Linked DNA regions of Coturnix japonica. The protein of the gene in region 2 interacts with the protein of the main gene of each other region in a biochemical or structural test. Links are inferred from orthologs where the notes say so. Each region holds a gene or a part of one and is shown on either strand. Other genes may lie near its edges. The genes, in order: TNFAIP3, RIPK1, OTUD1 and CRADD.

Region 1 (7,807 bases), on a different chromosome or scaffold from region 2:
CAGATCTGCATTAAAATGTTCCACTGTGCTAAGTGGTGGCATACCCAAACTTCCCATGGGGAATGTCCCTGGGCTGGGCACCAGCCTAGTTCACAAGGACATAGACCAGTGAGTAGAAGTGGTCTTAGGACTCGGCATCCATAGCTTGGGCCTGCATCCCTAAGATATATTTTTGCTCAAATGGTTTGGTTGTAAATTAGAAATGCTTTGCTTAAAGCAAATTATTGGGAATTGCTGACATTTTTTTCTGGCAACAAGAAACAGACAGTGCTCAACAGAATTGATATCCATCTCTTTTTTCCTACAGTAGTAATTTCCAAGGTTTTTGGATTACGGATCACCATGTCACTGGTACATTTTTAGTGCCTAAAAAGAAAGTATTTGTAACAATTTCTTTGGCTCTCACATTGCTCAGTGTTGCAAATGCAGCTACACAGCTCTTCAGCGCTGACTTTATCTGGAGCTGTAGTTTGTTTGCACCAAAAATCAGTTATCCATACCTGGGAGCTATGGCCCCATACACTGACAATGGTAGGAGTAGGAGAAAAGGCAGTTCAGCGATTTAAATCCCAGTGTGAGACTCAAGCTTTCTGGGTACACCCAGGAGTATTTCTCATCCAGGATTGAGGGGGAAAGCTCTAAGCTCCTCTTCTGAACATGTACAACAGGGACTTTAAAGTGGTTGTTTGAAGGAGTTCTGCTTTACTGAAAGAAGTAAAAATGCTCGCATGTTCAATCCTTATAAAATAAGTGGTTTAGCATGGTGATATGATGGGAGTTTTGCATAGGGAGAATAGCAATTATGTAATTTTATCCAGCATACTTGAGTAGGATACAATGGTGTGATATGCAAAACACAAAAAGAGAAAACCACAGTGCTGAGCAGTTACAGTTTCACTTTATATTAAATGTAAAATAAGAAGTTACACTTTTCACTTGCCTGAATTTAATGAGCAGCGCAGCAAACTCGTTCCTGGTGGGAGCAGATTCAGTGTGCACACATGAGCTTGGTCAGTAATCTCTGTGCTGCTGCTGTCTCCCGTACTGGCGATAACATGCTGGTACTACCAATGCTTGCCTTGTTCAGAAGGGTCAGCCTAGCAGCACAGGAATCACAGAATCACAGAATGACCCGGGTTGGAAAGGACCTCAAGGATCATGTAGTTCCAACCCCCTGCCTGGCAGGGCCACCAAACATACACATTTACTAGATCACGTTGCCCAGGGCCCCGTCCAACCTGGTCTTGAACACCTCCAAGGACGGGGCATCCACAACCTCCCTGGGCATGCTCAGAAGTGGCTTAACTGAGCTGCCAATTTATTAATTCCCCTTGCCTTGGCCAGCTGTGGTTGCTTTGGAGAAGCCTGCCATAGTCTTCCCAAGGAGAAGTGGAGCTGAGTCAATCAGTCCCCTGCAGTCCCCTGTGCCCTCTGCCACTGCCCTCCACCTTCTGCCAGTGAGCTGAGTGAGCTATAGGCAACTTGGTGAGCACAATGCAGCAGCATCTCGAGTTACCAAGGCATTCATTCATTCAACAACAACAACAAAAAAAAGCCTTTATGTGTACATATTAGAACGTCTTTAATGTTGGTCAAACAGAAACCTGAAATAAGAGCAGGTAATTTTGCTTGGGAGTTTTATGATGACATCTTTTTGTACTAATGCTAATTCTCAAAAAACTCCCTGTGTCTAATACTGAAAGACAGCCTACGGCGTGCAACGCAGACTGCCCCCTCCTCCGGCCTCGCTAAACTGAACACTGTGTACGTAATCTCTCCCCCTCCCACTACCCTTGATCTCTGACAGCAATGATTCTTTTTGTTATTGATTCGTGTTTTACCCCTCTCCACCCCCCCACCCCCCCTACACACACTTTTTTTTGCTAAGGGCCTGGTACAAATACATGATGTTGGGCAGGAAGTAAGATTTCCCCTGGTGAATTACCATGGGGGAAACTTAGGTTTTATTCTCTGCTTATGGCTTCGTTTCAAGGGATTCATATGATCTAATACAATTGCGTATGGTGAGTTCATCCAGTTCCCAACCCCATACTTTTTTTCAAAGGCTCAGTGGCATGACACAAGAAAGGGACAAAATTCCCTTCTCATTTACAATGTAAAGCCCAGCTGGTGAGCTGGGGCTCTGCTCCAAGCTCATGTGCAATGTTCCTCACTTTGAAACAAGCACCTCTCCAACTGGCTGCTCTCAGATAACTGTGGGACATAGCCTGGTCATGGCATTAAGTGCTGTGCAGCCTGAGAACACACTGCCAGAATTCTCACTTTATTAATGACTGAAGCAATCATTTCATTTCCTCTTGTCTGACATCCATGATAGAAGAGCGTGCACTGAAGTGACACCTGGTAAACATTTTGCTGCAAGATCTGATAACGTTTATACTGATGTCAATCCTTAATAATTTGATGGACTTCAGCAACTTTACTCTAGATTTTCTGTAAGATAATGAGGATGGGAATTTGGCCAGGTATCTTATACAAACAGTGTCTTACTTCCTTTTTTGTGTTCTGGAGTAAAAAAAGAGGCATTCAGTTGCTGCTGTTGCAACCCACATGCCGCAAAGACATCTCTAAGCAAGCAGACCTCGCTGTTATGTCCTCTTGTACATAATGGCACACCTTGCACTGGCTGCTGGTTACCGTGTAATGGTAATTAGGCATCTCAGCCTGTTCTGTGGTCCTTAGTGCACAATCACTTAAAAAGCAAGAAAAATAGCCTGACTGACATTCCAACAGGATAAGTTATAGCTTACTTGCCTTCTAACTTATAGCCTGCAATGAAGATCAAACTGATTTTTACTTGAGGGTACAGATCAACATCATTTTTCAATTACGTATTATTCATACACAGCCAGCAAAATAGATGATGTTGCACACTGTTTCACAATCACGTGCATGTCTAGACCAGCCTATATCTACTGCCTAAAAGAAAAGAAGAAAAAGTCATCGTTTCCAGAGACTTTTTTTTCTTTTTTTTCTTTAAAAAAAAAAAAAAGGAAGTTTTGGGGGTGGTAATAGAGCCATGAATGCTGACCCTCAGCAGAGCAGGTCTCTTTGAAAGCTGGTGCTGGGGCAGGTGCTTGGAGCCTCCAGTGTTTGCCAGCGCTCCTGTGCATCTGAGTCATATCAGCCATGTGCACCACGGAAGTTCACAACGCATTACTCAGAGCAGGCATGTAGCTTGGGCTCTGCCAAACCCGAGGCTACGTGAATGTCAAATTAAACATATTCATCACCAGAATGTTCTTTCTCTGTTTTTCTTTTGGGCATCCAGCAGGGAAGACTTATTAAGGCAGAACTTCATATTGTTGGGATTTCATTATATAATTCACTGACTTACAGTTTGCTTTGTTGTTACTTCAGGCATTTGAGCTTTGCTTTTCTCTCCTGCACTGGGGCCTAAGTCAGACCTCCACTCTGGGCTATACAGTGCATTCAGTCTTCCCTGGGGCTTTGTTTTTCCACGTGTCCTCACATTATAAGGTCACTACAATGTTAAATTACCTCACTGTCACGTGTGCTTCGATCCAGACTGGCTTTCCTCTACCAGAATAGCAACCCACCAGCAGCTGTGACCAAGAACAAGCTGATCTGTGTTGTACAGAGCTTCCTGATACTTTCCGCCACATGGCTACACATGCACTTCCAGAGGCGCCTACACATGCTGTAGGTTTCCAGCTTCAGCTCCTCAGAGTGCCTGTGGTGGTCTCCCTCTGTCTCCTGGTGACTTTTGTCTTGTTGTCACCCACCCTCACACCAGTCAGGGTGCTCCTGAGTCAGTTTCTGGGGAGGATACTATCCTCTGCTTTGTCACTTTGGAGAAGGTGAGAGTGTGAAGTGCAGCTTGCTGGAAACACCCAGCCCCTAACACTCCTCCTTGGGCTGCCTACTTCATCTTGTAGGTGGCTTCTCCTGTAAAAATGCAGAAGTTTGGCTGAGCTCTGCGAAGGGTTGACCTTCCGTATTTCAGTTTTTACCTCTTTGAGCTGACAATGCTTCCTATTTGGGAACAACTTTGAACTAAACTCATCAAATTCAGCTGCAAATAGAGATAGGTTTTATCTCTTTTATTTTGATTCCCCACAATGAAGTTTCAGCTTGTACTAATAACATCTATAGTACAGCTGCCAAAACAGTGTTCGTTCTTCACCTCTTAGTATTAGCATGCTTTTTTTGTTTGTTTTGTTATGTTTCAGGGTATAACTAAATATTATCACTGCTAGAGAAAGTGTATCTAAACCGTATTGGTCATGACCTATTTTTGCTTGGCTAAAAAGGAACAAGATACTTGAAAGTACATGCTAATTTGTAAAACTTGAACAAATCAGTTTTAATACTGCAATAAGGGAAATGTGAATGTATAGAATGAATCCAGCAGAGCCTGTAATAAATAGAAAATAATTGCAGGACATCAGAGAGGACAGCAAAAACAGGAGATGGTAACTTCACAGCCACGTGGAACCAGTAAGTGTTTAATCTACAAACTTTCTTGTTTTCAGCTGAGTGAAGCAGAGACAAGTAGACACAAGAAAAAGTACAAACAAGTTCTTTATTCTGCAGCTCCATTTGAGCACTCTAAAGATAGCATCAAGGACTGCATGGAAATCCCCTGGATACACTTTGTAATTTTTTCCGGTGAATCTCAGGATAGCAAATATGAAAGGCAAGGGTAAGAGAATGACCACAGCTGGTGTAGGCTGCACTTTGGTATTCCGCTTTTGCGGTGCAGACACCCAGAGTGGAATTAATCTCAGCTGTCTCTCCCTCCCCTGACTACAAGGGGCACCCAGATGACTAGCTCAGATGTAGATGTTTACACTGGTTTACAAAGGTGACATTCTGGAGTAGATGCATCCCACGCGCCATTTCTGAGGTGATGTTTCCTCTTGAAGAAAGCTATAAAATCAGGGCAATATGCAGATTGTCTTTTGCTTTGTAACTCACTAACTAATCAGATTTTGATGCTGGGCAAGCCATGAAAATACTTACAACTTATGGCAACTAATGCCTCCCGAAATCAATGGGTGGTAGGCAGTTAAATGCTTTGCATCTCTGGGGCAGTTAACCATCCATGAATATATATTTGTCTTGCGAGAAATTAGAGAAGTAACACTCACATAACTCCCCTCAATAGCTGTGAAATTTAAATAATTAATTATGACAATACTCACTGACATCCTGAAGTAAAAGGTCTGACACAAATAATTATACTTGATGTTTCAGTCTGTATTGATGATGTACTTGTTCCCCACCAACAATGCAGTTTTGGGACATATTGAGGCTAAACTTTAGACAACCTTTCATTTTTCTGAAGTTGTGTTTTCTTTCAGGTACTCCTTGGACATAGAAGAACCGAGATGAAACCTGCCCAGAGGGAGCATGTGGAACAAGATACACGTCCCTGCATTAAACAGTTACCTAAATAACAATCTCGCTATGTTACCATTTCCACAGTTATTTCAAGTGTTCAAGAAATGTATTTGAACTCCCAAATAATTCCCTGCTCAGCTCCTGTATGTTTCCAGTGTAGAAAAACAGTGTAAGTGCAGTAATATGAAGGCAGGGTTGTTTGGACCAAGTGTTAACTGCAAAACACTTGGCACTGTTACCAAGGACAATGTCTGCTCCACTTGCATTAATAATGCATTCAAAGAAACAGGCTTTTCCTTTGCAGTAGATGGAACTGCATCAGTTCTCTTTCTAACAGAGCAAAATGTTGTCAAACAACAAGATAGTGTCACAGTTCTGCACACTACTTCTAGTTGGCTACTGATCATCACATTTAGCTTCATTGAATCATAGAGATGTATGCAAGGATTTGTATCCAGCTTACACAATGAGAAGTGTTACGAATGGGGGGATATAACTGACCATTTATTTACTCTGAGGTTTTCAAAATTATCAGGGGAGACGAAAATAAACCATTGTGGCGTGAACAAGGAAGCTAAGTGAGAAGTTCATCTCCTCTAGTTGGCTGTTACCTATTACTGTGATGATTTATTGCCATAATCAAGGAAGAAACACCCTCCTTGCAGTGGAAAAATGTTCCTAATAAAATAAAGTTGTGATCTCAGTGAGAATTGGGAAGTACCAGTAAAAGCTTAGAAATATTACCATGGAAAAAAAATATCTCAGCAATGGAAATACAGGGGAAAAACCACTTCTCCTAACTTGTTTATACATCCACAAACTACATAATTCCTTTTTATCTCTGCAACAAATGAACTTATGTTAAGATATTCACCCATTGTGCCCTCCTACTCTCTTTGTTGTTTTCAGCTTATAATTCTCCTGTATTAAAATGCGTTTGTTTCAGTGGGTCTGGATCGCTAATCCATCTATTTTACCCTGTTTTACAGACTCTTTTGTCTCCTTAATTTTTACCATTCTATTACTCTTTCGCTTGTTTTGGTTAATCTGTAACATTATTTTTTTCCAGGCCCACAGAAGAAAAGGTTGAATTTGATTAAATCTGGCATGAATCTCTGCAGAAGATAAGTAGAGAAGCCATTTGCTGAAGGATACTTACTGCCAATCTACTTTTCCAGTTCAAAGTGCACACTGATTTTGGCAGCGAGAGTTTCAATATTTTTCTGACACAACATTGTATGATATTGAAACAGATACCTCACAGAAGTCTACACCATTCCTTCTACAGATCATACTAGTAACTGATGTTGGAAAAGCATGGGTTTTATTAATTAACATGGAATCACATGAGTAATTTTCCTTTGTATTTAAGTGACTTTTTCAGGATTTGTGGGTGTAAGTTGGACTCAGAAAGAAGTGATGGTAGTTACTTATATCGTGTAAGAACAGCACTTTCCATTACATTTATAGGTAAGACAAAATTAAAATCAAAATAACAACAACAAAAACAAACCAGGAAGTTTACAGAACAATTTTCACCTCTGTATTTAGAATTGTTTATCTCTGAGGAGATACTTACTAGTTCTGAGTTGAATCTGGTGATAAAATCTTTATTGCCTTTAGTTTTGCTAACCTTTGATTTTCCCTCAGTGTGACTGCAAGTTGAACAAGTGAAGAAGTCCAAAATGTTCCTAAGTTCCTCCTACAAATGTTAGTGCATTTTTTTGTAAAAAGGAACGATACTGGAAAGATCTAATAATGTTACACAATCCAAAACTGACCTGTAATGGTGGCACATGGTATAGAAATTCTCCAGTAACATTAACCTTTATTAGTCCCAGTATACCCATCCAAACACCATGAAACATAAACAAAGTAAAGCCCTTGGAAAAGTTTCATACCAGGGAATTTTTTTACCTACCCTCTGTCCCAGACATGCAAACTAGCATATCTTCTGCCATCCTGCGCTAGGCTTCGCAGAGTTTTAATCCCTGTATGTGGGTGAGAAGTGGTTACGCTGTAAAAACCAACTCAGATGTCAAATGAACTAATGGGTGACACATAGTAAGTACTGGCTTAGAGGTCAACCTTCAGGTCTTGGCAGTATGCGGTAATGCAGAAAGTTCTCTCCTCCTACATGTCTGCGCAATTCATCCAGCTCCACTGCCGTATTCCTGCTGCTGACTTGTTCTTATGCAGCAGAGGAAAGGATCCTTTTCTCTCAGCCTGGAAAATGTGATGGCTTTTATTTGTACTTCCACTCAAGGCTAAACAAACTACAAACACAATTAAAAACAATTTATATTTTATTCTTTTCCTGTATTAAATAAGATGAAACAATGTGTTATGGATTTACACACATTCACTCTATTAACTTCTAGTGTAGTGGATATTTTTCTCTATAGGAGCTGGTCCTGCT
Region 2 (7,720 bases):
GATCAGAACCTGATCTGGAACTTTAATTTTTCAGATTGTATAAATGTAAACCATGTTTGCTTTGGAATCATGCATGGAAACAGACCAGACATAGAAGAAATCATTAAGGAATGTCCAAAGGAAATTATCGACATAATGAAACAATGCTGGGAGCAGGAGGTAGAGAATCGACCCACCTTCGCAGGTAAGACATAATTGGGGGGATTATTTTTGTTATGTGCCCATCAATAGTTTACAACGCAGCAAACGTGAATTAATTCTCAGTTAGAAAATAAAGTGACCAACTCAGATGCCCAGTAAAGCCCAGAATCCAAAACAACTGAAGTTAGTAAAAGCCTGAATTGAATGGTCTGACAGAAGGTGGCAGGGGGGGAGGGGGGGGGGAAGAAGGGTGGAAATAAGAGTAATCATCAAATATACAACATACATAAGCTGGTATTCCTCATTTCCTTTTGCCTTTTCTCTCTGTCACAATAGAAGTCCCCAAAAAGAAAAACTGCATGTTATAGGAAATAGGGAGTTAGGATTTATGCAGAAGCACCTAGAGCTTCATATGCAGCAGAATCAATATTCATGGGAAGCATATAGACATGGAGAAGCAAATCAACTGTTTCTGTATTTAACCTGCAGTGATGTTTGTAGATTCTTTGAGTAATTCCATCTTTAGTAGAAGTAGAGTAGCTGTTTATTCAATACCTGAATGCAGGTCTTACTGTTTATTTTGGCAGCCAAGGGAAGGTACTTCAGCCACAGATCACTTTCCTCCTAAAAAGCAATAAGACAACCAAAAAAATCCATAGAAATAATCTTATTCTTTTTAACTACACTAAGGCTAAACAAGTCATGTGCGTTTAACTTTCCCATTACTGTTTCTGACTTGATATAAAATCACAGAATCACAGAATGACCCGGGTTGGAAGGGACCTCAAGGATCATGTAGTTCCAACCCCCCTGCCTAGCAGGGCCACCAAACATACACATTTACTAGATCAGGTTGCCCAGGGCCCCGTCCAACCTGGCCTTGAACACCTCCAAGGACGGGGCACCCACAACCTCCCTGGGCAGCCTGTTCCAGGGCCTAACCACTCTCCTAGTGAAGAACTTCCCCCTAACGTCCAACCTAAATCTTCCCTCCTTCAACTTAAAACCATTTACCCTAGTCCTGCTATTATCAGCCCTTTCAAAGAGTTTACTCCCCTCCTGGGTGTAGGTTCCCTTCAGGTATTGAAAGGCTGCAATGAGGTCACCCCGCAACCTTCTCTTCTCCAGGCTGAAATCTCCATCGACTTCTTGTACATCAAGGCTGTTAACAGTATAAGTTACTTATTTTCTACTGAAAACCATCTTCATCTAGTTCTCCTTTTTTGTGTGGGTATATATACATATACATATATATATATATATATTTTTATTTTTTTTTTTGCAGAAGTTAGTAACAAGTACGTGCCCTTTTACCATCAAAATCTAGAAAAAAATATTGACAACGATCTGAAGAAGATAGAAGTGAGTAATTTGTTTGGTATTATTTCCTAAGTGTTAAAGTGTCGGTTTCCCAACCATGCCATGACACATCCCCAGTTACTGCCAGATTCTCCCCAGCTCTGCTCATGCCTGACCAACCTGATTTCCTTCAGTGTAAAAATGGATGGATTTGTGAATGAGGGGAGAACACTGTACATCATTTACCTCAACTTCAGGAAGATTTTCAGCACTGTCTCCCCAAATATTCCTTTGTCCAGGATTAGATGTTACCATTTGGACGGGTAGACAGCCAGATGGGTTAAAAACAGGTGGTCCTAGAGGGTAGTGGTTAGCAGACCCTACCTCACCTGGAGAACAGGAACAATTGGAATAATACAGGGATCTACTATACTGGGACATGCCCCGATTTACACCTTGATCAGCGACCAAAGGAGCTATCTCATAAGGTGTGCAGATGACAAACTATGGGGATAGATAAAGTACCATTGTGGTCAAGGGTGCCCACAACAGTCTAGAAGAATGGGATGACAGAAACCTTATAAAACTCCAAAACTATATTGCTTGTAAATTCCCAGCCTGCTTGAAAGCAGGACCTGCACAACAGCAATAAGAATAGTTCCCGTTTTTATTTGAAATCAGTTATTTTTCCTTAGTGCTTAAGTTGGTTTCTCTTCCTTGTCTGGCTTGAGGTGCTACCACTTTCTGACATTCATACAGAACCTCTTGTGATTCCATTTGTTCCCACCACCTCTTGTCCTGTCACTGAGCACCACTGAAAAGAATCCATCTTCTTTACACCATGCCATCAGATATTTAAACACACTGACATGACTTCCTCTGATCCTTCTCATCTCCATGCTATCCCATCCCAGCTCTCTCAGCCTCTCTCTCACAAGAAAGATGCTCCAGTCCCTTAGTCATCTTATCTGGACCTTCTCTGTTGGCTCTTATACTGCAGGGGCTCAGAACTGAACACAGCACTCTAGATGAACCCTGAGTAGAGGAGAGGGATCACCTCCCTAGACCTACTGGCAACAGTCCTCACAATGCACCAGGACAACATCAGTCATCCTCACTGCAAGGGTGTATTGCTAGTTTGCACTCAATTTGACATCCACTGGGACTCCCAGGTCCTTTTCTGCAGAGTAGCCTTCCAGCCAATCAGCCCCTAGTATATATTGGTGCATGGATTTATTCCTCCTTAGGTGCAGAACTTAGCATTCCCTTTTATCAACCTTCACGAGGTTCCTGTCAGCTCATTTCTCCATCCTACACATGTCCTTCTGGATCATTAATGGAGATTTTGAACAGGATTGGACTCAGTGATGACACATGGGGCACACTGATAGTTTCAAGCCTCAAACTAGACTTCAAATTACTGAACACTACCCTCTGGATCCAGTTATTCAACTAGTTTTCAAGTCACTGTGCACTTATCTAGCTCACAGTTATCAGCTTCTTTGCTAAGACCTTAGGAGAGACATTAATTATGAAATGTATCCCTATGTGCCAATTAAACTTATACTCATTTAGGTAAATGGTGTTCTCTGGCCAGCTCAGAATTACTACAGTTGCATTACAGTTCTTCCTCCTTTCACTGAAGATAAGATTTTGCCCATCTGTAGCAAAGCAGCGGCTATTTTCTGCAAGGCTCTGTCCTCTGTAAGATTGATGGAATCTGTTCACCCAGGTGACTTCAGTATAAGGATGTGTTTTCTATTCTATAGGTGCTTCCTCTCGTTAAGCTTTTACCTATAACTTGACCATATGCTCTTTTCTTACATGTAGGAAATGTGGCCCAAGTCAGAAGAACTGCTGCAGAGGATGAAATCCCTTCAAATAGATGCTGTAGTAGATACCAGCAATGGCCAAATAGGTGGGTGTTCCAAGTTGCATAACTAGCACATCATCCTGGCATGTACTCTGCTAAAGATAAAGTTGCCCCTTTTGTAGCTATGGAGAGACTCAGTCATTCAGTACTTCTAAAATCCAGTAGAAGTCAAATCCTACTAACTTTGCCCACACCACTGTAAAGATTTTATTAAGCAAGTAACTTGGAACTATAACAGGCAACCGATAAACCTTCACCAAAGCTATGTTTGCCATAACAGAAGTAGAACTATTGGACCTAGTAAGGCAGGCCAATTGCTGTACTTTTAAAGTAGCGTAGGTACATTTCCCTAGCAAAAATAATAATGTAAGACTACAGATTACAGATGCTTTTGTGCTTTTTTTTGGTGACATCTCCAGATAGGATTTCTACATAATCTTTTGCAGATATGACTTCAGTGACAAATTATTTGTGTTGCATTAAGTAACGCCAATTACAGTGAGTTCTATCTTCCATCTTGTTATACTCTGGTCTTACACTGGTTAAATACCAGTTAATGAAGTCAAGACTTGGTAGTAAATTAGACCCTATGAGTGCTGCTGGGAACCTGTTGTTTCAGTGACTAAGAACCTGGTGTCGATATATGCAGAATACACAGTGAATTCAGACACTGCTTTCCTAAGCATAATTCAGTGACACTTCCCAGAAAGGGAAGTATTACATAAAACAGCTTATGCTGGAAGTGATGCTACAGTTTCATCTTTTATAATTTACCATAGTATTAAAAATAAATTAATAGAATCTAATGTCACCACTAGTTATATACTTGCAATAGAATCTGTTTTAAATACTTCATTTTTTTCCCTTTCAGATCAACCTAATTCTCTACACAGCTCTCAGGGTCAGATTAATGAAGCCTTGTTTGCTGCCTACCCTGAGAACCAGCCTGTTGAGAGCTGTGAGACTTCGTTTACATCCCCTGACAATCTTGAAAGAAAACTTGAACGTGAATACGACTACCATGCATACGGCAGCCGGATGGATAAATCAGTAGCTCCACCATACAGCCCTGAAATGAGAGAGAGAGAAACGAGACCTAAAGTTTCCAATGATCCATTTGCAAAGCTGCCTTCTGTTCCTCAATGGGGTGAACTGTATTACAAAGCTGAAAATATAGGATCAAACACTAACCCTTGGTTTTGGCCAAAACAAGCTGCAATACCAACTCAGGGAAATTTAGAAAATTTTTATGGGCCAAACGTTAACAGTCTCCTAACAGGAAACACTGAAGATCGCTATGATCCATGTTCAACAAGTGCCTTTAGCCTAAGCAAAACTCCTGTGCCGGAATCTCGCCCAAACCTGGGGGCACAGAACAGCGTAAACCAGCAACAAAAGAATGCAGATGTGGATACAGGTGAGATTCTTCCTCCTCTTAACTCTTGTGTTTCTGAAAATGTGTTTTTTCCTCTAAAGACAAAGCAGCCTTAATAATAGCAGACAGTGGATAATACTGCAGCAGCTAACAAAACCAAGAGCTCTTACTAATCACACTTGGAAAACTAAGGAGTATTTTTGACTCACAGAATGTAACATTCACACCACAGGCTGTGTGCGCAAAAATGGAACTTTTCTCATGTATGTGCATGTAGCATTTCAGAAAAGAGATATTTAAGCTTGATTTGCAGCAAGTTAAGAGTTCAGGGAGCTAACAAGGAACTAAAGCTCTTAACTGGTTTCTCCAGAGAACACTGCTCAGTGCTAACACAGAGATGCCCTTACAGTTTGCTAGTGAACTGTGGAATAGAAAGCTATGGAGAAAACGAAGAGAACAGTGAGTGTCAGTAACAAGTGGAAGCAATCATTGTAGGGAGGCAACATACAATATCATGGCAGGCATCAGGCAGATGCAGAAGACCTGCACTGCAGTTCTTCTATTGTCTTATTTGGTGACCATAACCCAGTCACTCTTACTGCCCAGTCACAAACTGTCAGAGCTCATCTGAGCGCATCCAAATCCATTACTACATCAGACAGGAAGTTACATCTCTGCAGGACATTATTGCTACCAACAGAAGATACGGTGGCATCCCCAGCTACAGCTGGTCACAACTAACATGCTAACAAACCATGATCAGTCTCAGCAGTAAATAGCAATGTGCTCGGCAGCCTTCTTGGTTTGGAGGCAGTAATACCTGTGTCTACGCTGTGATCCTGTGCTGCTTTCTGCCAGGCAGGTGTTCATACACCCATGTGGAATCCTGTTGTTCTCACTGGGATCCAAGGATCACAAAGGCTATCAGTCCATAAGCAAAACCACAATAAGGGTAACTGCTTCAGAGTTATTAAAGGAGATAAAGTCCTGTTTGTTAAAAAACTTTCTGTCTTTTTGTATTTAAGAGCGCTATGCACACTGTACAAATAACAGCAGTACTTGTAGATTTGTTTTTTTTAATTTCCATAACACTTCTGGCATTTCCTCTCTCTTTAGGTATCAAGGTTTCTGCCTCTTTCACAAGGGGAACTTTCACATATTATCCTCCTGCAACTCCAATAACCAGAGGTAAATGCTGTAGCCTTTGTTTGTCTTGGTAGCCAACAGTTTATGCATTGCATTACGATCAGTGAGGAAAAAAGCTTCAGCATCTTCATCATCAGGCTGCCCAGGGGGGTGGTGGAGTCTCCTTCTCTGGACATATTCAAGACCCGCCTGGACGCCTACCTGTGTGACGTGGTTTGGGGAGCCTGCTTTGGCAGGGGGGTTGGACTCAATGATCTCTAGAGGTCCCTTCCAACCCCTACAATTCTGTGATCTTGAAACAATTCATCCAAGAGCTTTAAATATAGCAGAAGTTATATTACTAAGCAAAACTAATTTCTGTCTCTACAGTTACCTGTATATACATATTTATATTTGCTTGATCAAGGATGTCATCATCTTTAATGTAAATCAAAAGGATCATTCTAATCAGCCTACCTTGGAGCACAGGTCTTTAAAGTTCAGCTACCTTAAACCCCTCAAGTTTTGTCCTGTTCTAGGGCATTTTGGTATGGGATAGAGTAACACTGGCTTTCAGTAGAGCACAGCTGTGTCACACTACATGAAAATACATTCCTGATTGCCTGTGCACTGCAGGGGAGTCTTACTAGATGACTTTTAAGGGTCTCTTCCAACTCAAACAATTCAACTATTACTATGTTAAATGCAAGAATTTAATCACTCCCTTGATTATCAAAACCTTCATCCTCACCCTTCATACAGGACTGCTTCAATTTTTTATTTGCATGCAGATGTTTATGAAACTCTATTAATTTCCTTACACAGAAGATTCAGTCATGTACAACATAACTAACAGCTCTAGAATTCAAATTGGATCCCACAATCACATGAAGATTGAAGAGCAGAAACAACACACCAGCACTTCTCCTGTTGCTACAGAAGCATCTTACTCATACTATGAATCAACGGGTATATTTGGTAAGATACATCTCCCTGGCTTCAGTGTATTATCCTCAGTGAGAACAGTACAACTTAGCTGCTCTGTGACTCCTTTTCTACACAGTAGCACAGTACTCCAGTGGTGCAGTGGTAGGAATGCCGCACTGCAACACCTGAGGCCTGGGTTCAAATCCCCCTGTGGCACAAGTGGTAGAAGTGCTGCTCTGCTACACAGGAGGCTCAAATCCCAGGGGTTGGACTCGATGATCTCTAAGGTCCCTTCCAACCCGCACGAGACTGTGATTTAAAGACCTGTGCCGGTGCTGTTCTGTAATACTGTGTATCTTATTTCTTTTTTGGCTTCATGAAACACCAGATCCAAGTACACATGTAGAGGAATAGCAATGCTAAAACTGATAGAAGTGAGACTGGGATTGATGGTTCTCACCTAAGTATTCTATTAGGGTAGAATTTGGAAGATTTTTTTTAAATTTCTTTAAGTCAATATTGGATTAACTACTCTTTTATTCCTAAGTAAACAGAGTTACAGAGTCCTAGAATATAAAAGAGATCACATATAAACATCAGTCAGCTACACAAGAACTTTAGGAAAGAGCTTGTGAATTTGGCAGGTGTTTCAATAACAAACTTAAGTAGACTCAGGGGGAAAAAAAGCAAGTCTCCCAACCGACTTGTGAACACATGTTCCGACTGTGAGCTTCTTTTGTGGTATTCATTAGGTAATATCACCTCCACTTTTGATCCTGTCACTAAAGTTCTACCTCAGGATATTGCAAATACTTTGGAAAGGACAATTGGCATATGTAAGGGTGGCTAATATAAAGATGTTGACCAAGATGGTGGTAAATAGTCAAAGGTTATTAGTAAAGAAAACTCACCAATGTCAATGCCTTGACCAGAAAGCTGAGACAGTCTCCACTGGGGAGCAATCTCCAAGAGATGCTGCC
Region 3 (8,193 bases), about 47 Mb from region 2:
TCAAATTATGAGAATAATTAATGAGACAATCAATTTTATCATCACTCCTACTTTAAGCTACAGAAGGCAAGGTCAGCCCTGTGAGTAACTTGATCCAGAGGAGCTGAAATTTGCTAAGAAAACAAGTTGTATAAACATGTTCCTTAATTGCTTAGTCAAAGCTCAATCTCTAAGTCAAATGACAGATAGATAGAAAACGCATCGTACTGTTTATTTACAAAAGCATTTTGTACATTTTGCTCACAGGCTCTAAAAAAAAATAAAATAGCAAAAGAAGCTCTGCTGGAGTTCCAAAGATCCTGGAATTTCTTAACTTGAGCAGAGCATCAGCAAAGGGAAGAAGCATTGCTCTTAGCCATATTAGGTTAAAGGGACAGAGGTCACCAAGCTCCAGACCTCACCCAGAGATCTGAAACCATGTGTTTTCTTGCCCAGAAATGTTTGTTTGCTGGATAGCCAAAATATGAAAATATAGAAGTTATGCACAGGAATTGTGCTGGACACTTGTATGTGTGAAAAAAAATATGGTATAGATGAAATTAGTCCTGTCTGCTAATTCCAGCGTAAGAGCAAAACCAGCCAGAAGAAACATTCAGATACAGGAGGTTGTGTACAATCTCAGGTAATACTGAAATACACCTCTATGTACAAGTGACGTTAATGTAACAGGTGTATCTTTTACACGTGTGGTGGGCTGGTAAAGTACAAGGGGACACTCACACCTGGTGTTAGGCAGCCTTTACACATCCTAGGAAGTTACTAAGCACAGACAAGGATCCACTCAGCTCTCCAAGAAGAAATCCATTGACTGAGATGAAGGGCAGTAACATTGGAAAGGTCTTCCCTTTTCCATTTTGGAATGTTCCTTTCACATGCAAACCAAATCTACTCTTACAAACCTTGCTTTGTGTTACAGCACCTGTTCAAGACATGTGAAAATCACAATGTGGCCAATCTTTCATGACAAAATGGCATTCTGCAACCCAAAGGAATTCCTGACATGAAGCACTCAACCTGCCATCTAATTTTCACTTCTGCTACAGAACACAAGTGAGGATGGCATCACACTGTCAGTGTGCAGCCTGCAGGAGCACACTCCAGTTCACATTTGCTCAGTTTAGAATTAAACCACTTTCTATCTCACTTAACCACACAACTGAACACTGAAAACCAAGATCTCCTTCTCACTTACTGCCAACAATATGAACCTGTTTCCTACAGTCCCCAGACAGGTCTAAGGATTAGCTGGGTTATACAAGTGATTACCCAAGGTTAAAATAATCAGGCGCTGAAATTATGAGCAAGGGCAACATTTGTCCTTCTGTAGCTTCTGGGTTCAGTAACGGGGACAGTAAGGGAAAACCCTCTTCTTGTGCTTTTGCTGCAGTGCTATTGAATGGGGGATGGCACACAGCTTTGCCCATGTTGGGACCACTCTCTCTAATAAAACACACCTTCTCAGGCAAGATGAACTCCATGTCTCAGCTGAACTATAAACAGCAGTGTTACAAAAACAATTCAGTTTCCACATGCCTTATGCACCTAACATACCATTTATCCATTTTTCTTCTGAAATTTACACAGTGTGTAATGCAAGCCACTAAATTAACTTGTTATATGCTTCAATAATACATTCTTAATGGCTTTTAAAATCAGCTCAACAATTTTAATTCCTTACAGTCATATGTGTGCAGTGGCATCAGAACTCCTAAGGAGCCCTCCGGGATGTTCTCCTCATCAGCTGTCTCTCTTTCCCATGAACGCATCCATGTCTGCATCTTTGATGCGTTCTCCCCTCAGAGTTCAGCCTTCCAGAGATTTAGTTAAGGTAAGCACCAGTGGACCAACCAGCAAGACTGCTTCTTCCACTGCTGTTTGACCTTTAAAGAGAAAGCATTATTGTGTGTGTGTGGAAAATACACTTGGAATTCAAACCAAGAAAGTTTTGGAAACAACATAAGTTTCTGATTTCCTCTTTGCAACACATAAGGCAAACATACATGCGATCAGTCCTGTAGCTCATTATCAGAACACACGTGCTCAATTAAGACTGCAGCATCTCAGCTACTTATCTTTAATCCTAATTTTAAGCCAGCGCTCTCCTGTGTGTTTAAAGATGACCCACTATTTTTAGAGAGGCAAAGATAGGTATGTAAATACACACCATGCTATTGAGCAGCTTGTAAGGTATTTCACTTTTAAAAGGAAAGGGAAAAGGCTGTATCTCCTAGTGATACAACCTCTATCCAAGTAACTGATAGAAGTGCAGAGGTAGGGCTAACCTAAAACGAGCTTGGGAATGGCTGCAGAATAAAGGCTCCCAGACACAAAAGTTCATTAAATGGCTTGGAAGGGACCTTACAACCCACCCAGCTCCACTCACCCTCCCCACCCACCATAGGCAGGGCTGCCACCCACCAGCTCAAGCTGCCCAGGGCCCCAACCAACCTGACCTTGAATGCCACCAGGGAATGGGGCACCCACAGATTCTGTGTGCAATCTGAGACTAAGTGAAGGCTTGCACTGCCCAGTAGGGCTCTGCTTCACCACAACCCACAGTACCAACCCTTGGTACAGGCAGGAATCCCTCAGGGATTTCTTAGTGGCAAATATTTATGCTAAAATCACTTGTAATTGCAATAGATTTGAAACACTTGTCATTAAGTGTTTGCTTTTCTTCCACACCCCCAGGCCACCCATAGCATCACTTGTTCACATTCATCAAACTTCATGTCCCTGCTTCCCCCCTCCTCACTGGGGAAAATAAAGCAAAGAAACTCAGTAAAGGCTCTTGAATGAACTTCCAGTTCCTCACACTAGGAACAGAAAGGATGGGAAAAGAACACAAGTAAAATTATATTCTTTATTCATTCCATTTTAGCTGAGAATATTCCTATTATACAAATACTGTATAAATTCCAAAATCACAATATATTACAAAATAAAAAAAGTACAAACTGCCGTACTTAATAAATATATCTAACAAGTTAATCAGAAAGTAGAAGAAACAGAATTCAGCTTGGAAACATTTAAATGTTTGACCCAGCAAACCATACAAATCTCAATTTAAATACTTTTTAACTCAAAATACCATTCCTGATTTCTTATATAGAAAATAACATCCAATGAATAAAATGTTGTGATCAGATAACGATTTGTTGGTGCAATACAAGCGCCAAAACAGAAGCATGGCTCATACAAAAGACACCATAACCCCAGAAACAGGAACACAAACACCGAGGTGCAGCCAAGGCAATTACTGCCAAAGCGGTAGGCTATTATCTAGTCACAACATTCTATTGCAAGTTAATGTTCTGTTATTACAGATAAATAACATAAATGGAGCAGAGGGTGAGCCAACCAGGCAACGAGAGGCCAGTTTACTCAAAACAGTAATTAAATACAGAAGAGTCAATTGCTCCCTGCGCGGTGCACGTGGAGCTGCATTCCAGCCGGCTCAGAGGACCTGTTCTGTACTCGAGGCAGAGAAAGCAACTGTTCAGAAAGCAGACTTCTACTTTGCTGCGCTTGAACAACTACTATTGTTTTGCCAATAGCCACGATGCTTTCGCCAGTTTGGGAGGGTCATTCGACATCAGCTTCATTAGGTAGAAATATAAGGTTTATGGGTAAAAAACACAGCAAAAAATAGCTGTTACATCATAAGCCTTATTTACAAAAATCGTTACAAATGTTTTTTGGCTATACAGCTCAAAGCCAGATACTAACATGAGATGTAAAAGATGGACGTAACAGTTTAAAAATGTGCAAAAAATACATTCTCATAGAAAATAGAGAAACGGTGAGGAAGGGAGACACAAACGAACAGAGAACCTGCTGGCAAATAATCCGAGGCTATGTCTCTACAACAGAATACTACAAACACACTTGGATTTATCCCCCGCGATCTACCGCTCGTCTCAGTCCGGGGTGCTGCTGCTTCATTAAGGATTAAGGCATCACCATCACGGCCAGCACGCTTCCACCCATCTGTCCCCACAGCCCTGGTCCCGGGCGGCCTCACGAGCAGGCGTTCTGCTCGATGTACATCTTGGACAGGGACACGGCCATGGACTTGGCCAGCTCCTCATCCCGCCGGCGCTGCACCTGAGTCTGCCTGCACCAGGCCTCGTACTCGGGGTTGGGGCAGACGCGGTCCAGCACGGCGTCGTAGTGCCCGTTGCTCAGCCAGCTCAGCCAAATGCTGGGCCGCGTCGGGTCCTCGGGCCCCAGGTAGTGGACCATGGTGGAAACGGTGGGGCTCTCGGGCCGCCCGCCCGTCGTCAGGTGAATGTTGACGTTCAGCATCTGCCCCATGGCCAGCAGCTCGGGGTAGCCGGCCCAGGCGCCGTCCTGCGCGGCGGCGATGAGGAACTCCCCGACGTCGCCCTCGATGATGGGGCCGAAGTGGTCCAGGTGGTCGGCGATGTAGTGCACCGTCTGCTCGCGGAGCTCGCCGTGCAGCCGCTGGTCCCCGTACACCGCCTTGCAGACGGCGCGGTACAGGCAGTTCCCGTCGGGGATGATGTGGAAGCGGAATCGGCCCTTCTGCCGCAGGTACCGGTCCTGCTTCTCCACTTCGGCCAGGTACAACGCCAGCTTCTCGCTGCGCTCCGCCCGCCGCGCCGCGCCCGCTCCTCCGCCGCCCTCCTGGTCCTCCCCGCCGCGCTCGGGCTGCGGGCCGGGCTGGTTGGCGGCGGCCTGCAGCGCCTGGCAGTGCTCGCTGAGCCGCAGGCTGCGGTTGCTGGGCTCGTCGGCGCCGCTCTGCACGACGCCTTCCAGCCAGGCGCGGCCGTGCGGAGCGGGCTCGGGCCGGGGCAGCAGGCGGATGGGCACCACGCGCTCCAGCGGGCGGCGGCGGCTGACGGTGAGCTGCGCGCAGGAGCTGTACTGCGGGACGGCGGCGGCGGGGCCGCTCGGCATCACCTCCAGGCAGGACGAGAAGGCGGGCATGGCGGCTGCGGCTGGGCCCCCGGGGCTCGGGCCGTCCTTGGCGGGGCTCTCGGCGGTCGGGTTCGGGCTCGGCCCGGCGGCGTCGCTCGCTGCCTCGGCGGAGGGGGGTCCCGGCGGGATGGAGACCTTGAAAACGGTCGCCGCGCTCGGAGGGGCCGTTCCGCCCGCGGGGTAGTGGGTGATCACGGAGCTGTAGAGCTGCATCCTCGGCTCCCCCGCGGGCGGCGCTTTATAGGCGGCGCCGCCGGAGCAGGGGCGGGGAGCGGCGGCGGGGGCCGCGCTGGGGCTGCCCGAGAGGATGAGCCGCCCGGGTAAAAATAACCCGGGGCATCGCCCCCCGCCCCGCCGCCCCTCCCCTGCCCCGCGCTGCCCGCTGGGCCCGGCGGCAGCCGCCGCAATTCTGACTGCGCCACAAGCGGAGCCGCACGGCCGGCACGACACGCCCCTACGCGGGAGCGCGCCGAAGAGCTGAGGCCCTTCTGGAAGTTGCTGGGGGCGGAGCGGCGCCGTGTTTACAGCGGGGAACGAGCACGTTGGAATGTGGGGCGGGGATTCCGTAGGGAACGGCCCCCGACGGGGGGGGGGATGGGAGCGATGGGAGGATGTGGGACCCACTGGAGCTTTCCTTTGGGAAATGCGAACCATGTGTGTGTATACATGAAACTACGATATAACTCATCGGTTACAATGCGCTATGTGTACATGTACATGTAAAACTACGATATAGGTCATCGGTTCATAACTGGAGAGGACAGATTGAAAATGCAACTCCCAAAGACCACTTTGGTGGTTGTTTTATTGATGTCAGTGGCGTCTTACAATCAACACGACTTTTTGCCTTAGCTGTGCTATAAATAAAGCTGCATGTCACCCGTCAGACACGAGCAGTGATGTTATCTGCACACGCTGCATGTGATAACGTTGAGTAAGGAGCCCCACTTCGTGCTGGGTTAACACAGGCATCCAGTCTTACCACAACAGAAAAGTGGATATTGTGTTTAATTTCAAAGTTATACAGGAAGAAAATATATATAGAGATAGATTTCAGGATCGACTTTGGGATGAATGATTTGAGCTTCAGTTCTGCAATCCAAGCAGTAGGAAGGAGAAAAAGAATGGGTGGGGGTGGTAAGTACTATATATCCAACATTATTGCTGCCAAAATTGAGGTGTAAGAGGTGTATCAGGTATGAACTGTAAGGTCCTGATTACCTGCCACAACCAGCACGTTGATGCCTTAAGAACAAATGGTGATGTGCTTTAGCCAGGAGCATTTCTGGCAGCCTGTTAACAGGAGGATAAAGTATTACAACTGCTCTGAAATTACAGAGTGACACTCGGATGTCAGAATGTTCAGAACTTTGATTTAAATATAGCTTATGAGATCAGCCAGTGAACCTTTATTTCTGGACAAATCATTTCTTAGAGAGTAAAATATACCGATCAAATGGTGCTAAACTGAAACACTTTCCAGTGAAGGGCAAAGATGGGCAGCTCTTTCTGTTAGAGAATAGTAAATAGATCCAGCAGAATAAGAGCATTTCTGTTATAAATGAGTGCTGCATTTTGAATACTTAGTGCCACAGTTCTCTTTCTCTTAGGATGACATAGAAACTCCCAGTAATGACAGTTCTGCCTCTCCCAAACTATTGGATCATTCTACAAACAGGTATCAGTAACATCAGCCTCATGTTTTCACTTCAAATATACATAGTAACCTTCCTAGTACTGTTAAAATACAATCAAAATCTGTTACTAGGTAACTGAGCAACATAACAAACAGCTCTACCACTGTATGAGAGTTAATTGCATATTGCTTTTAACATACTAATTACCTCCCATGTGAAGTAAATAGAAAGAGAAGTTCACCTCAGCACGTTTTACCTGTGTTATTAAATACTGACAGTGTAACGTGGCTAACATTTTCTGTGCCTGAGCATCTAGAGTTAGTCACACACATTTGGCCTGGGTGGAATCCAATCTTTCTAGAAATCAATGGCAAAAATCCCATTGAACCTCTGCAGCACAAGCATTTCATGGCTAGTTTTCAGCTTTCATCGTAGGAGTGACCACCAGTCAGCACTTACCTGAAAGGTCATTCAGTAAATGTCTGGCATCTGTTCGCAATAATAACAATGTCTTAACCCATGCTTCAATCCAAGGTCACTAGATGAAGAAAAGGGTGGAAATAGAAAGGAATGATGAAGTGCTGTGAATAAGTTCCTGTGAGTATTAAATTTCAGGGAAGAATTTGAATATAAGGCAATCTGTAAAAGGAAGGAGCACGTTGTGGTGCCTTTTGCTGCCAGGAGGTGCTGATTTGTTCTTTCTTTGAGCTGCATGTAGAGCAGCCACTGCCTGCATACTGTACCACATGAGCACTAGAACGCTTTGCAAAGCAAGCAGAACACTATGGAAATGCCTTTCACTGTCTTCTGTAGTGTTCCCAGTCTTCTGGCTCATTCAGGACAGGCAAATGTAAAGCCCTTTGCCAATGCAGAATAGACCTTAAAGCAGTCCCTGTGGTAACAAAGCATAATCATCTCTTGAGGTTAAAGTTTCTCCTGACATAATCATTAGCACTGGTTACACTGCACATTCCAGGAATGGTTGAGATGGTTTACAAGGCAAACCACAAGCATAGAAACAGCTGTGGAAAAACAGTGGCGTTCAGTGACGTAAAACTGGATACCTAAGAATGGAACTACTTCTAACCTTGATGAACAAATTAATTACATCAGCAGGATCATTTATTAGTGAAGAAGGAGAGAGAAGTTAAATTAAGTGACGTATTGAATGACACTGAATAAGCATTTCCACAGCTTTTTACTTATGATAATGTAACTGTGCTTCAGCCAAACATATTTCTGGCTGAAGTATTTCGTACTATAGTTAAATGAACCTGTGTAGATGTCATAAGCCAACAGCACTGACAGATTCTGCTGTTTCTACCCCGAATCTTTTTTCCTACTCCTTATGACAGTTCGGGGTTTTTTTTGTAATGATTTCATACTTTGTTCAACCCTTACTGTATCACTAACATGAAATGGAAAGTAAATGTATCAGTAATTAGTTCTGAGGTATACATACGCCGCACAAAACAAGGGATGTGTCTCACAATTGCCTCACAATTTGTTGTTTAGTTTCTTCAATACTCTCAGGTTGAAATCATATCACTGTATGGGGGCACTGGGCATTAGAGATGTAACCTGCAGCATGACATCACATGGCAAGAGTGGA
Region 4 (8,193 bases), on a different chromosome or scaffold from region 2:
TTAAGCTGGGAATGTATCGAAGAAAAATGAATGCCAAAGTATGAACCGGATGCTTTTGCCCCAGACATATTTTTGGCATCTATCTGGGTTACTCTGTTTTGTTTGGTCCCTGTCTGTGATAATTTCTATTTATATCCAGGTCTGTTTCCTGTCCACACTCACCAGAATGGCTGTGTCTCCCACTCTGAGCCATGGTCCAGAAGCACACAGGCTGGTAGTTGCCGATGTTTTCATTTTGTTTTCAGCTGGGACAGCTAGGACTAAGGTTGATGGTGGATGATCTTCCTTGACCTGTTAGAGCCAGTGGCAAGGAGCAGCAGGTGGAGAAGGGGAGAAGCCTGTCCCTTTGTGCTGCAGGATTCAACAGGAGAAGCTAGAGTTCTTACTCTGATCAGTTCCAACTCTGAATCCAGGGTGAAGAGCATCGTCCCTGCTTTCAGCCCTGTGCAAGGGGATTTTTATGATCCCAGTGCTGCTCCAGCAATCTGGCCTAGAGCAGTCCTGCCCCAGGTCAGCGCACTCCCCAGCACAGAGCTGTCAGCTTGCTGTTTCTCAGGAGCTTGGTGGTTTTGGTGTGAGCAGCAAGAGGCTGGACTTTCAATCTCCACAGCATGCAGCCATGACACTTCACAGCACAAACCATGTCCAGAGCTGTTGTGGTCTTTCATTTGGCCTGCCCTCTGGAGGTAGAAACGCCACAAGTGGTCTTCTCAGGAATACCCTTGAGCACCTTCCAGGTCCCCCTGTGAAACAGAGCTCTCACCACTACAGCAAGATAATGAACAGGCAGCCCAGTGGCGCCTCAGATGCAAGTCAGGTCACACCTCCCCAAGCCCCACTTCTCCCCATTTCCAGTGGTGCAGTATGAATTTCGCAAGCCTGTATCTGTCTTAAGCACGGACATCTTCATATTGGACCTGTCTAAAGCTAGAAAAGCTTCATATCTTTGCAAATTGAGCTTTTAGTTTACTGAATGTGTATTTCAAATACAGTCAGAGCATCTGCATAATTGGAATTTATACTGTAATCTTGCTACCTCCTTCAGCCTGTTCTGACCAATGCAGATTGTAAGCGGGGGTCTGCAGTAAAAATAACCAAAACAAGCTGTCTTTAATGTTTTTGCAATGTGTTCAAACCAGCTTGGTTGCTGAGGACAGAAGAAGCATTTCCCTTTTACCTGAAATGCCCTTGTGTTTATTAAATTAAGAGTGTTATTAATCATAGATCATATCCAAACCTTTATATGATTTTACATTTGTCATAACTGAATGATCTCACTAAATATTTCTGTATACCTCTAAATAATGTTGCCTGTCATGTAATACTTGTCTCGCGTTTTTCTCAGTGAGAAGTGAGCTGAAAAAGAGCTATCACAGAAAATAAAATGGGACTAAAGTAACAGGCCTTTGTATTAAATTTAACATTTGGCTCCTGTCCCAGAATTTCCTGCATCCATATTGGAATCAGATGCTAGCTCAAGATGAAAAGATTTCCTGGATGGGTTTTATTCTTATTCTTATTAAAGGGCTGATAACAGGCTGAAGGCAAGATACTTGTTGTAGTAAAAAAATCTGCCTGATATCAAAGGCTGGATGGACAAGCTGACATATATTGTTGTTAGGCCTCCCTGCTTGATCACATTTCAGTACCATAAAATCATTCTGCTAGTGAACACGAGATGTAAAAATCTTGATGTGAGAGCAAAAAGCTCGGGCTGGCAGGTCCTCCTCCTGGGCACGGAGTTCCTGCTTAGTATCTGAGACAATACGTGAGTTCAATAGCAAGAAATACTGCTGGCTGCAGTGCAGGGTAGCTGTCTCTTGTAAATCGTACTTCTTATCAAATACTTGGACTCATATTTGTGTTAATCGCAGGCACTCAGTGGTCTCGATGTGCCCGTGGAACTGGCATTGTGTGTAATGGGGGGTCAGCCCCATGGAGCTCCTCTTCCTTCTTCAGGAGAGTTGTGCTGGGGTGACAGGCCGTGTAGGCTGGGCCTTCTTTGCCACTGCTGACATTGCCAACAAAATGTGCATCCATAGAGTATGCGTGCTATAGAGCCCTTGTCTTTGCAGATGCATTCTTGGGAGGAGATGAGGTGTTCTTGAGCTCTGTGATGAGGGCTGAAGCCACTGACCCGGCACAAACCCTTCTGTCTCTGAAGCCACTGAAGCTGAAAGATGATCTGGACATTCAGCCTTTGTTATCATAACTGGGACCTGTGCAAGGAAGTTGTGAGGCCTGTGCCCTACCCAAAAACCAGCCGGTTCCCTTGGCACCAGGAGATGAGAGGTCCCAGTGCTGTGGTTTAACCCTGCAGGCAGCTCAGCACCACCCAGCCACTTGCTCACGCTCCCCAGATGGAATGGGTCAGAGAATCTGAAAGGGAAAAGTGTAGGAACCCATAGGCTGAGATAAAGAGAGTTTTGTAGGTAAAACAAAAGCCATGTACATAAGTGAAGCAAAGCGAGGAACTCATTCCCTTCTTCCCATCACCAGGCAGGTGTTCAGCCACTTCCAGAAATGCAGGGCTCATTGTGCGTAATGGTTTCTTGGGAAGACAAATGCCATCTCTCTGAAAATCCATCCCTTCCTTCTTCATTCCCCTGGCTTTTATTATTGTGGTCCATGATGCTGTATGGTATGGGACATCCCCTTCGTCAGTTGGGTCAGCTGTCCTGGTTCTGTCCCCTCCCAGCCCATTGCTGGCAGGGCAGCATGAGGAGCTGAAATGTCCTTGGCTCTGTGCATGCACTGCTCTGCAGCAATGGAAACATCCATGTGCTATCAACACTATTTTCATCAAAAATCCAAAACACAGCATCACATGAACCCCTAGGGAAAAAATAAAAATAAAAAATCTCTATCCCAGCCAAAACTGTGACACCTAGATGCTCTCCAGAAAGCAATTTTGCCTTTACTCAAAGCAGCTCCATACAGCACTCGTGTGACTGGGCTTGAACAGTACAAATGTTTGCAGGCTCAGGGTAACCTATGCAAAAACAATTGTTGTTTTGAGACAGTGGAGTAGTGCTTTCTAGTGTTACTGTTCTGCTGTGGCAGAGACTTTGAGCAGGGTATTGAAGCTATAAATTAGATTTTGCAGATCGACTCCTCTGAAGGGAAGCTGCTGTTTCAGATTGGCAGGCTATAATTAGCATTTTCCTGAGGTTATTTTTGCTCTGTTTTGACGCAGTGTCATCAGTGACAAGAGTAGAGTAGCAAAAAGAAATAACCCTTCATTTCAGCTTGTGATCTCAAAAGGTATCAGAGAGTGAATATGTTCTACAGATACGCTGCTTTTCTAGGTACACCTTTTCAAAGCAACTGGTCTGTGGTTTGAATTTAAAGGCAGAGAACTCTTTCACTAGCACTGGGCGTTTACAGCATCAACATCAACATGTGAGCTTATACCCAGCGCTCCTTTTATAGTCAACAGAGAGAAACGTGCATTTTTAGAGGAGTAATTCATCTAGTCTATTTTAAACATCTTCTTTCCAATATATGAATTGTATTCTAGAAGAGCCTATTTCTCTCCTCAGCAGTAATTAATCCTAGCACTGTTAGGGTTTATTCAAATAAAAGCCCCCAAAGCTGGCCACCCAAAGATGATTTTGCTGTATATGACAGAGAACAAAGGGTAAGCAGCATCTTAGGAGACTGAAAAGGCTTTCTGGTAACTAAGGAATCAGTTATTTCTGAGGTGCACAAACAGAGAGACAGGACCAAAGTGATAAGGTTATTATTGGTCCCATATGTGTCATCGTACAACAAGGCTGATTTTCAGAATGTGCCGACTGCTGGAAACATGTTCCTTCAGAACCTTTCTTGTTCACTCCCCTCAGACTCCATAATTACTTCTGAAAGTCCTGGCTTCAGAGTGGAATTCTGATATCTGGATTATTGGCATTCAGAAGCTCCAGGCTCTCTAATAAGGTCCATTGAGCATTAGTTTTCCTCTAATTAATCTTGTATTTGATTATGTAATTCATTTTTTCTGGTTGAGTGTGCTTGCCATTTCTCTAATTAATTGATTATTTCACCTCAGCTTTGCTTATTCTCTCCTTGTCAAGGTTTTATGTTAATATTTGCAACATTGCCTAGTGATGTGATTTTGCATTTTCTTTCTTTTGTATTTACAGATTCAACCGCAATTGCCCCACGTATTCTGAAGAGTTCACCCACAGATCAGCAGATGAACAAGCTTGCGAGGAAGCTGGGACCTGAATGGGAGCATATTGTTCTGTGCTTGGGTTTGTCCCATACTGACATCTATCGATGTAAAGTCAATCACCCTCACAACGTTCAGTCACAGATAGTAGCTGCGTTTGTCCTGTGGAGACAGCGTTTTGGGAAGAGTGCAACAATCCAAAGTCTGCAAGCCAGCCTGATGGCAGCAGAGGTGGATCCTTCTGTGATGCAGTACATGCTTGAGTAAAGCCTTGCTTTGGAAGCTTTCAAGTTCTTTGCTAAACTGAGTACATCACTGAGATGAATTGAAGATCTGGTGCATCAGACTGGCAAAATTGGGCTTGAGAACTGTGATTTTATTAAGATTCCACATTTCGGTTTTCTGTGGCACCTTGTGACTTCTAATTCTTTTCATGCCAGATTTCTTTTTAGCAGGCATTGAAAAATGGATCGCTCTTTCCTCTTTCTTTGCTCTTGTACTATTCCAGTGGGGATATAGGGTGACGCTTAAACTCCTTGCATGCAGGAGGCCCTTCAGCAAGGTTTCCCTTTTCACTGTGGGAGCAACACTTGATTTAACCTGTTTTCTGGACTGTGGACTAAGAGCCGTTTTTACTGCTGATCCATGCTAGTTCCCTGATATCCCAGTAAGAAATGAGAATAATCACTGTTACTAATGCAGCGATTATACAGCAGTTACTGCAGGTGGCCCGTTTCACATTTGTCAGAGCCTTCGCGCATAGCATTTCTTATTTGGGTAGATGGCTGCCACCTTACTCTACCTTTCAAACTGAAATGAGATGACTTCTAAGTTTCCCATCTTTGTCTCAGCTAGTAAACTGGTGTCTGCTCAGTCTTTGTACTACAGCATGTGTGCAAAGGCAACAGAAACGGCCAGCTGCTCTTAAAGACCTGATGGAAAGAGGCTAAATACATGTTAATTCTTTATGGGCACTTTACTGTACTGTAAATGAGGAACAATGTTTGAGTGCAGGGTTTCCAGGTCTATTTATGAGCAAGTTCTGGTCGACCATTTCATCTATACAGAGTCATTGCCAAATAACTTCCCATCCTACAGGATCTGCTCCATATAATTTAACAGCTTAACAGGCTTGTCAGAATTCTTTACTAGGGAAAGAATGAGCTTTATTGCCTTTTTCTTTCTTTTTTAATTCTTCCTTTACTCTGATTTTTGAAGCCATTTCCCAAAGATGGGTAATTAGGAAAAACAAAGACATTTTCAGGAAACATTGTCTGCCTTGCTTTTCAGAAGCATGAAAAGAGAAAATGTGTCCTGCAGGTCCTGAAGTGATCTGGTGGAAGTCTTCTGCTTACAGTTTTCACCTTCTGTAAATCATGATCCTGTTATACCTCACTCAGATCTTAATTAATCATATCCTATTACAGCTATTTACAGAGTCTAAGTCTATCAACAAGTCCCAAATAAACAGTTTAAATCAATTTAGGCCATGTTACTTATTTTACTAGTTTGCGATGCTTTCATTCCAGCATATACTTCTTGTTGAAAACAGTCCTAGAGGTATACAGAGGCATTTGGCAAATTCACATAGACACGGCGCAGAGCAAGGAGTGTGAGGACTCTGAACCTGTTCTGCTGTGAGATGAGCACCAGCGTGACATGCATGTTAGGGAAGAGGGCCAGAGCGGTGTCTGTGGCAGCAGGGAGATGTGGAGTGGGATGAACTACTAAAAACACGGCTTACAGGAGGAAGGCAGCTCCCAGTCACAGAAATGCAAGGACCTTGTCTTGCTCTGAGCCAGCTCAGGCCAAGTCTGAACGCAGGCTGGTGACATGGGGAGCCATCCCTAGCCAGCTCAGCCTGAATGCGGCAATACGACCAGTCCTGCGGTGAAGTGGTACGATGGGTGGTACACTCACAGGGTCCTGCTACTTTCTTCTCTGCATGACCTTTGGACTTTATGTTCTTCTTTTACAAGGCCAATGTCAGATTATGCATAACTATACCTAGAGCATTTTAAAGGAAAGAGCTTGGAACACGTATGAAGTCTCATGCCGAAGAAGCCTTCCTAACCAGTTAGGTATCCTAACAAATCACCTAATTCATAACTTATAGCTGCTTTCACATTCCCAGGCCCAAATTTAATGCTGTAATACTTGAGCTGCAAATATCGAAGGGAGAGGTTTACTTGTTTTATGAGACTGTTTCCATTGCTGTTATTTTTAAATTCATGGAAATGTTTCTATTAGACTCTTCAGTTTTATTAAGGCTTGTTTTTGCACCACACAAATACAGGGACACATTAAACTTGACAGTAGTATTCTTTTAACCCAGTGGATTTTTCCATCTACTTAAAAATATTTTTCTTCTGTATGTAATGCTTTATTTTACACAAGGATGTAATTAAGACAATTTAATTCTTCAGATGTAAAGCAACGCCTCTCATTCTCTCTTAGCACAGCCAAGAGATCTTAAAATGTTTATTCTTCTCTGGCTAATTTGGGAGCAAATGTTACTCGTTTAAATGTCACTCTGAGGCAAGCCTGCGACTCGAGCATTGTTCAGGGGGAGCAGCTCCATCAGCGAGTGTCCCCATCTTTGCCTTCTTACTTTGGGTGACAACCCAGAGCTGGCAGGGGCTGCTCCCTGACCCAGGGCCGGTGATGGGAACGTCTCCCACAGCGGTCACCTCACCTGATGGCAGTTCAAGTGTTTTCAACTGTGTTCTGGTTTCTAAGCTGAAGCCAAAAAAAAGGCTTTTGAGTGCAACTGGTGTGATTGCTCCATACTTGTTTGCAGCAGTGTTTAGGTGCCTTGAGAGATGAAAGCAATGGTGGCCCCTGGCTCTTCTACAGAAATGGCTTGACTTCCAGCCCTTGGAATAAGCAGACATTGGTTTTCTTCCTTGGCCTATAAAGGAGATGCTCAGATCCCATTTAACTCTCTTTGGTGGTAAGTAGGCTTTATAAAAACCATCTTGTACTCAGTGAGTCTTGTACTGTACATCTTGTACAGTAAGAAAGGGCTAAGAGCATATCTCCCACCTGCACAAAGCAGCGTGGATTATCACAAAGGAGGGACCTCATGACCCCATGAATTAGGCTTCACATTGCTTCAAGAAGTGGCTGGAGTATAGAGGAGAACTAAAATGCAGTCATCTTCGAGCTGCTTCTCCAAGATGATGTGGGGGAAATTTCCATCTTGAGTCATATATTACGACAGTCATCGATCTATGGAATAAAACATTTTGCTGAAGGCTGGAAAAACAAACAAAAGTCACATTATATTCAAGGAATATAAAAGGCATGATGATCTTATTCTAAATATGGTCATGCAGCCAATTTTGTTTCTTACTGGAAATAAAAACAAGCTCTGAGAGCTAATCTATTTATAAGCTTCTGTATTCTCAATAGCCATAAACTAATCTTGAGGCACAGCAGAAGCAGAGCTGAAAAGTCAGTTCCTAAAAGGTTTGCTTTACAAATTATTTTACAATAATTTACAGTCTTTTTTTCTTCTTTTTGGTGAATTTACAAATGGTGTCCAGATTTCATTAACTGAGAAGATTGACTTTCAAAGTGTCTACCATCCGATAAGTAGACCTAAAAATAGACCTAGTGATTTGGCTTCTTTGGGGACCAAACACAGTGTCTTTCCTGAGAAAGAGGGACAATTGCTAGAAATGGAAATAATGTTTCAAAATGTCTTTCCAGATTAATAACAATAAGGACGTGTTTTATCTGAATTTACTTCTGAACCTGGCATCTTAGTTGTGAGACAGATGAATTGGTAATTTCCCTTTGAAGCTGTCGGGGATGGCTGAATGCTCAGTGGAGCGGAGCGGTTACCAAAGAGCTGATGGTGCAGGAAGGCTCCTGGCACTTCTATGTGGAGACAGCATTAAAATGCCTGCACGTGCTGCAGATGCCATTTCTGACACTGATGTCGGATACAGGCCCCAAAAGAAAGGAGACAAAAAGTCTCTTATTGACTTCAGTGCGCTTTGGATTAGGCCGTCCCT

Evidence for each region.
Region 1: of the proteins of RIPK1 (region 2) and TNFAIP3, one has a biochemical effect on the other in vitro, tested with the Homo sapiens proteins (2 studies listed by BioGRID). The link is inferred for Coturnix japonica from reciprocal best matches to the Homo sapiens genes RIPK1 and TNFAIP3.
Region 3: of the proteins of RIPK1 (region 2) and OTUD1, one has a biochemical effect on the other in vitro, tested with the Homo sapiens proteins (2 studies listed by BioGRID). The link is inferred for Coturnix japonica from reciprocal best matches to the Homo sapiens genes RIPK1 and OTUD1.
Region 4: the proteins of RIPK1 (region 2) and CRADD form a complex in vitro, tested with the Homo sapiens proteins (2 studies listed by BioGRID). The link is inferred for Coturnix japonica from reciprocal best matches to the Homo sapiens genes RIPK1 and CRADD.

Annotation. Positions count from the first base shown.
Region 1 is NC_029518.1:49,352,452-49,360,258, reverse strand, and holds the end of TNFAIP3 (tumor necrosis factor alpha-induced protein 3), read left to right. Parts: intron 1-4,425; coding exon 4,426-4,691; 3' UTR 4,692-5,321; downstream 5,322-7,807. UniProt on the Homo sapiens protein: Ubiquitin-editing enzyme that contains both ubiquitin ligase and deubiquitinase activities.
Region 2 is NC_029517.1:63,192,306-63,200,025, forward strand, and holds part of RIPK1 (receptor-interacting serine/threonine-protein kinase 1), read left to right. Parts: intron 1-34; coding exon 35-184; intron 185-1,426; coding exon 1,427-1,503; intron 1,504-3,270; coding exon 3,271-3,358; intron 3,359-4,184; coding exon 4,185-4,730; intron 4,731-5,804; coding exon 5,805-5,876; intron 5,877-6,638; coding exon 6,639-6,791; intron 6,792-7,720. UniProt on the Homo sapiens protein: Serine-threonine kinase which is a key regulator of TNF-mediated apoptosis, necroptosis and inflammatory pathways.
Region 3 is NC_029517.1:15,709,381-15,717,573, forward strand, and holds the end of OTUD1 (OTU domain-containing protein 1), read right to left. Parts: intron 7,120-8,193; 5' UTR 7,041-7,119; exon of another isoform or gene 6,238-7,040; 5' UTR 5,599-6,237; coding exon 4,021-5,598; 3' UTR 2,850-4,020; downstream 1-2,849. UniProt on the Homo sapiens protein: Deubiquitinating enzyme that specifically hydrolyzes 'Lys-63'-linked polyubiquitin to monoubiquitin.
Region 4 is NC_029516.1:40,970,624-40,978,816, forward strand, and holds the end of CRADD (death domain-containing protein CRADD), read left to right. Parts: intron 1-4,142; coding exon 4,143-4,438; 3' UTR 4,439-5,652; downstream 5,653-8,193. UniProt on the Homo sapiens protein: Adapter protein that associates with PIDD1 and the caspase CASP2 to form the PIDDosome, a complex that activates CASP2 and triggers apoptosis.